Linked DNA regions of Oryzias latipes. Each later gene encodes a partner of the first gene's protein in a complex. Links are inferred from orthologs where the notes say so. Each region holds a gene or a part of one and is shown on either strand. Other genes may lie near its edges.

Region 1 (3,655 bases):
ACAATTAGGTTCATAAAACTCAAAAAATACAAACCATTTGCTTGTAAACTAGCAAAAATAGTTATTGGGATGTATAATATTTAATTTTAGTCATTCTAACAGTTAGCATTCTTCGCTTAATTTTCCCTTTTTCAATGATTGTGTGAAACTCCTGTGTTTCTAGATCATTTTACAACTTTCTGGTGATTTCTTTCGAGTGTTTTTTTCCTCTTTTTAGGTTCCCTCCTTTTGCAGTGCATGCATGTACTCATACATGCATTTGTGCATCATCTCCTTCTTCCAAGAAAACAAAAAACTTTCACGTTAGTAAATGAAATAACCTAAGAGATTATGTGTGCGGCAGTTGTTGTGTACCATAATCTTCCAGGAGCTGCTTCTGTAACTGTGGCAGGGTGAGTCGGTCCTGAGGAGAGCTGCTGCCGTCGTCATCGAAGCACACCTGGTTCAACTGCACACATTCACATTCATTATTTAATCATTAATTATAACACGTTCATTAAGCAGCTCGACCATTCGTTTGCGTCAGCTGGGGTCCGTTCCTCAGACAGTTTCATTGTGAAAAGCAGAGGATAAATGTATCCTCCTTAGATTAATGCCAAACATGTTCAAAAGAATAATTTTGGTTAAAAATCTACAGTTACTTCAGGCTTTTAATCCAGATTTTAAGTACATTTGACTTGTTTTCTAGCACTTGTGTTATAAAACAAAGTTGGAAACCTACAAGGCAGAATGGCTTGATCTAAAATCATCCATTACTCGAAAATAATGCAGATTTTTACACAGAAAATTCAAAACTTGATCGTCACATTCACAAACTGATTTTCCTATTTAGAGATCTCTTGTATTTTCCAGGTAAAAAATGTGTTAAAATGTTAAAACTTTATTGATCTAGGATCCACTTTCGCTTACTTTTAGGAAAACAGCTTTATTGAAACAAATTCTGTGCAAAATTGATGGTGAGTTTAAACTGATTGCAGCAGTGAAATACCAAATGACCCAGAAAGGAATCAAGTAAATGAGGTGACCCGTACCTTCAGCCACAGATAATCTTCTGTCTTGTCCGCCACCTCTCCGTGGTTATCGTTGATGTCGCATTTCCCGATCAAGCAGTAGACGGCCCTCTTGTAGGGGTCGGCGCTGTTCCTCAGCACCCGGCGGTAGTGAAGACGGAGCTTGTTCTCCGAGGTCGGGCAAAGGCTAAAGACAGATCAAGTGTCAGACGACTGAAGACAAAAGATGCAGGGAACGATCTCATGCAAGCAGGCAATTGACGAAAGAAACGTACCGCCTGTCCGGGCTGTTCATGTACTCCTGAAACCAGGTCTTGAAGTCTCCCAGCTGATGTTGCACTCTGTTCACCACCTGCATGGCTGCGTTCAGATCGCCGCAGCGCAGACAGTAGTAGATCACCGCCCACACAGGGTGACCCTCCACTTCACCGTCCTGATGCACCAGAATAGAACCATTAAAAGGAAACCTAGCATGAAGAATGACCTGCTATTGACTTCAGGCAGTGAGGCTACGGGGCCACGATTATGGGGTCAGATCAGCATCAGCTTAAAGACATTTGAAGCAGTATAAAACTTGAAAGTACACATTGTCAACTTGAAAGAAAAAAAGTTTTTTTAAATGACTAAAAACTTGAATTAAAAAAGTATAAACCTAAAACTGTTTTCAGGTGAAAAAGAAAGTATTTGCAACAGCTGTTGTTTAGTGTCTATAATTTTGGGGTGTTTTTTGCCAGTGTTTAGCATTTCTCTCCCTCTTTGCTTAAAACCTGTGAACTGAGGTCAATCGTGTCCCGATAGCCAATGGGCTGAAAGCTCCACAAAAATGAGTGGAAACTCCAAAAAGTCTGATTTGAAACTGTAAATTGAGAAATGAAAAAAAAGGGAGAAAAAAATGAAAATACAAAACAGCTGCTGCAATAAATAAACATTTTTTCCTTTAAAAGTTGTAGGTATTTAGCATTTTATTCAAGTTTTCAGTATTATATAAATAAATTTCAAACATGCCAACTCCCCCCTGTATTTTCAGTATTTTTGTCAAATTTAAAATGTGTTTTTTCGCAAAGTGACTACTGATTAACGGAAGGTCAATTTAAGGAAACGTAAAATCAAAATTAGGAAACAAAGAAACAAAAGGATGAAGCAAACAGCCGCATGTCTTTTGACAAACTGTGCATGAAAAGTCCCTATTTTCAAGCCATTATTTCTGTTTGTTTGAATTTTCCCGCACTGAAGAGCTTGAGCTATTTAGCTAGGAGGTTAAGTGATTTACAACCGTTTACCAACTTTCGACACAGTGCGTCCTGGAAATGCTTGCGTTTAAGACAAAGAAAAAATGTAAATCCCATTTGACAGAAATTTAAACAATTTATTGCTTTATAAGTCCTTATTTAATTTAAATTAAATTCAACACCTTTAAAGGCTTTTTAAGGATCTCCGATTGAAGTGTAAAACAGTTCCAATCCTACTTTTTGTTTTCTTTTCTGGTTTTTCGTTCACTTCATCAAGCTGACCCTGGCTTGACCCCATACACGTTTCCTCACATTAACTCTTCATTCTAACTGATATACTGTAGGACTGATACCTGCATGCCAGGTAAGGGTCCGGGCAGTTTGATGTTCAGAAAACTGCGGACCAATTGGTACGTTCCAGGCACCCCTCCCAGTTGGGCCTGATGGAGGTTCCCGAAGACGGTCACCATGGTGTAGTTCTTGTAGCTGCAAAGAGGATGAAGACGTGATCGCATGTGGAACTTCTGACACTGGCTGGTTTGTTCTTTTTTACCATAAAAGTAGAACATTTAGATAAATTACTAAACTAAAATAGCTGACCCTCAGATCAATTCATCTTTTCTAATAAAATATTTTTCTGGGGTTACCTCTTTATCCTCAAATAAAAAACATCATAACCCTAAAAACTGGGAAAGTCTTGTTTTTGATGATTTTTTTTAAAAAGTTGAGCTTTTTCTGATCTATTCTGCATTAAAACGTCCGCATGACTTCCTGTTTGGCATTTCTCTTTCTAATCACACAATCAAATGACGTCAGTGTCGTCGTGGAAGTAATTGTTGTCCAATATAAGAAATGCACACACCTGTTCTCCAAGACGTTGAGTGCTTGACGAACAAAAGCCATCTGCATTTCAACAGAAGTTCGACTCTTCAGGGTGTCTTTAGCTGGAACCAGCAGAACGTCCGTCATCTGCTTCACCATCAGCCACATATCTGAAACGTTCTGGAGAACACAAATTATGTAATTTATTTCTTCAAGGTGGGCTATATAGACAATTTACTATTATTTTCTTTTTATAGATGGCTTCCCATCATTTTATATCACTTCTCCAGGTGCTGAACTGATAATGGTTTCTAATTATTTATAAAAAGGTAGAACAAATTTTCCCGACTTGTTATTATTATTATTTTTAACTAAAATGCACCTTCATATTTACTCCACTCAAAGATTTGGCAACAAAAGGCTACTGTTCTTACCTTATCATCAAGGCTTTCTGCCACCGATGCACATAAATCTCCCAGATTCGGGTGAATGTGTCCGTTCACTATCTTCTCGTTGAAAATGTAGATCTTTAGGTTGGAAAACGAAGAGACAAGAACATTTGAGCCCAGGTGAAGTAGCTCCAACAACCCTAAA
Region 2 (3,291 bases), on another chromosome or scaffold:
GCCATGATTTTACAGATACTCCGTACTGGATCACAAACAAAAAACACATTTCAAATGCCAAACTCAACGAAAGAAAGTTCAACTTGAATGGTATTTCTGGAACCAAGGTGATTACAGAATAAAGAGTCTTTTAGAACCTTGCTCCGACATCTGCCTCTGTTCACAAATGCGGAGGACCTTCAGTGCTTTCCGCTCCGTGTCTAAGGGAACGCGCTCAATCTGGAGCTCAAGGTAGACACGACCAAACTCGAGGCAGTGATCGAAGTAATCCACAGCCAACTGCCACAGACTGATCAACAGACAAACAAAAAGACATCCTTTAAGGGAAAACCTTCACAGAAAAATTCAAATAATTAAAAGGAGGACTTAAAAAACAAACCAACCTGTGATGAGTGAAGAGGCCAGAGGCATATTCCAACAGGAGGAATTCTCTTAAATTGGAACCAAAGCTGCAAAAACACAGAAAAACACTGAATAAAAGAAGTCCTAACCTCCAGACTAAAAAACTAAATCTGCACACAGGGTTCTTACTGTAGATTGTGAGACTGGAGGAGTTTGCAGTGATCCAGCAGGTCTGTCAGATGAGCCACAAACCACCAGTTGTTGAGAGCGATGCTGAGGCAAAAGGAAGAAATTGAATGTTTAAAGTAGATTTAAAATAAGTGTACTTGCATGCATCAGTCCCATTGTTGCACCTGCAGTCCTTAATAACTTGATGGATGTCAAACTCAAAGGCAGCCAGCAAGATGCTGTCCAGAGGTTCTGGTGCGCTCCTTGAGTCCAGAAACATGGTCATACACGACTGCAAAACACACAGGTACACTTAATATCTGGATGCAGCAGACATGAGTGCAAGTTTTGTAGAATAGTTCACCTGTGCATAGTAGTGCAACTCAGTGGGCTTTACAGTGGGATGACAGAACAGCAGTCTTGAGACAAGGAAGTGATACCAGGTTCCCAGGAGGTCTTTGTGCTCCAGTAAAGTGTCTTCATCACCCAGGAGGATCTAAAAAATAAAGAACAGAAATTATTGAAACATTTTATATCATATAGTTGAAACATTTGCACCAATTTATTAATCTGGTGCTGCTAAATGACTAAAATGTATTTTGGTGCCAGATTAGAAATTAAAACACACATTTAATATCCCAGAAATTGCCTACAGTGAAGCATGGCGGCGATAGCTTCATAATTTGAGCATGCATCATATCAGCCCATTGGGATTTAGCAAGAATTGAAGTGATTAAAACTGTTAACAGAAACGGGCGTATTTTTAGGAAAAGCCTACATTAGTACCAACAATGTTAGCATTTTGAAAATACACGATAGCATAAAAAGTAGTAACGGATGGACTGACCTTGCAGATGACCTCCAGATGTTGGTTGCTAGCAAAAGAGTTGTCCTGCAAGCAGCGGTCTACCTCTTCATGCCAGTGCCTCCACTTAACGTCAAACTCTGTCAGTGTCTGTGTGCCACCAGGCTGAAGACATACATGTGAGGATGAAAATGGACATTTTGAAATTGTTTGGTTCGTTATGTGTTTGAACACATTTAAAGGCAGGTCACCAGTCCCTCAGCCAAAACAGAGAAAGAAACTGATGCAGGAGTCGTCGTGCAAACTCCTCTTAAGGAGGCCACAACTTAGATTTAACCTTTATGGCAGGTAAATGACCATAAGTCATTCTTAACCCACAGACTAAAACCAGATAACTCCCATTGTACTTACATTGTAAAAAGGCATCTTGCTGAGTAAGTTATCCATCATCTTGTAGATGTTGTTTGCAGCAGGCGTTAGGGTGGCCTTTTTCCCCAGCATCTGTCTGGCTTCGTCCAACCTGCCCTGCAGCACATAACTCACCACCTGCACAGCACAACGAAACTCTCAGAGATCTCCAGTGGAGGCGGATCGTGTGTGTGCATGTCCCGCACTAACCACATCCCAGTAGTCTCGATGCTCAGCAGGGCTGTCACTCTGCAGCACGTCTCGAGCCTTTTCGTCTACGTCAGCCTTGTGCAGCCTCACCCAGTCCAGGAGGTGAAGCAGGAGCGAGCCGGCTGAAAGCATGCAAAACACACATCAATCATGAATGGGTTTTTATGGAGCCTTGCCTTTGTTTAGTTATAATAAAAGATATTTTGTTGTTAACTAAAAACTGAGATTCTAACCAGGAGCAGCATCGATGAAAAGGACTTCACACAGATTCCAGATCAGTTCTATAGCTAAAAGAATGGAGACCTGCAACAAAACAGACTGGATTAGGAACTAAATAATATTTAAGAGAAATGTTACTGATGAGTCAAGGGTTAAAATACAGATGAGCTCTGACTATTTAAAATGCAACAAAAATATGTCATTTAAAACATATTATAATGGCACAATGACAGCTTTACCCACAAAAAAGATCAGTAATGATTTATATTTGTACCGACAAGCAAAAATCCAAAATAAACAAGCTCCGACATGAATAAGAGTTTGTTTCAAGATCATACAGAAGACATTTCTAGTATAATAAGATCTCACAAATGCAGTTTGAAATAACATCAAAACTAGTCGACGTCTGCTTGGTTGATTTAAAAATCATTAAAAAAAATACACATTTTTTAATTCCTAAGAACAAATTATACACAAAATTATTTGAATTGTATTTATTACAGACCACTAAAATCCACATCCGAGGAAACAAAAAAATATTACGAATAGTAAAAAGATTAAAAAGAAGAGGAAAAAAACTATTATACGTTAATAAGTTAAAAAATTAAACTAATCACAATTTCTAAAAAGGAAAAGATGAAACTAAAGAATAAAAACACGTGCCTGGTTTCCATACTGTACGGACATCTCTGCGTTTTTTGTGGAAACTGCAAACAAAAAAGTACATGCCATTATAAAAAACTACACTGTAGGATTCGAAGATACACTTCATGATTCAGTTTAAAGAAGCTAACCTGCAACTTGCTGCAGCTCCTCCATACAGGCTCGAATAACAGATCTATAGTTTTTACTGATGCTGACAAACCTATAGAGCAAAACAGGAATTGTTTTTTTTTTTTACTTTAACACTGTTTGACATGAAATAGTTACATGTTGATGTTTTGCCTGTTTTCTTTTTCAATCTTTATGTCATCCCACTGATCAAAAAATTAAAAAGAAAATGTCAATAAAAACTAATTATTTGTGTAAGCTGAGCGGTCTCTCATCAGGAGACTTACTGAGGTTTCTTGTTCTTGCTGGGCAGATCCTCCCTGATTGTTTGCAAGCCAACAAAAATGTGATGCGACTCGTTAAAGAGT

Evidence for each region.
Region 2: nup93 (region 1) and nup85 share a complex: the UniProt entries of both Homo sapiens proteins name them as parts of the nuclear pore complex. The link is inferred for Oryzias latipes from reciprocal best matches to the Homo sapiens genes NUP93 and NUP85.

The regions. Positions count from the first base shown.
Region 1 is NC_019864.2:28,042,454-28,046,108, reverse strand, and holds part of nup93 (nuclear pore complex protein Nup93), read right to left. Parts: intron 3,589-3,655; coding exon 3,496-3,588; intron 3,242-3,495; coding exon 3,102-3,241; intron 2,726-3,101; coding exon 2,593-2,725; intron 1,444-2,592; coding exon 1,286-1,443; intron 1,198-1,285; coding exon 1,032-1,197; intron 449-1,031; coding exon 355-448; intron 1-354. UniProt on the Homo sapiens protein: Plays a role in the nuclear pore complex (NPC) assembly and/or maintenance. May anchor nucleoporins, but not NUP153 and TPR, to the NPC. During renal development, regulates podocyte migration and proliferation through SMAD4 signaling.
Region 2 is NC_019866.2:13,017,442-13,020,732, forward strand, and holds part of nup85 (nuclear pore complex protein Nup85), read right to left. Parts: coding exon 3,211-3,291; intron 3,018-3,210; coding exon 2,947-3,017; intron 2,860-2,946; coding exon 2,816-2,859; intron 2,237-2,815; coding exon 2,167-2,236; intron 2,056-2,166; coding exon 1,934-2,055; intron 1,862-1,933; coding exon 1,727-1,861; intron 1,481-1,726; coding exon 1,358-1,480; intron 1,007-1,357; coding exon 875-1,006; intron 803-874; coding exon 696-802; intron 616-695; coding exon 532-615; intron 450-531; coding exon 384-449; intron 290-383; coding exon 138-289; intron 26-137; coding exon 1-25. UniProt on the Homo sapiens protein: Essential component of the nuclear pore complex (NPC) that seems to be required for NPC assembly and maintenance. As part of the NPC Nup107-160 subcomplex plays a role in RNA export and in tethering NUP96/Nup98 and NUP153 to the nucleus.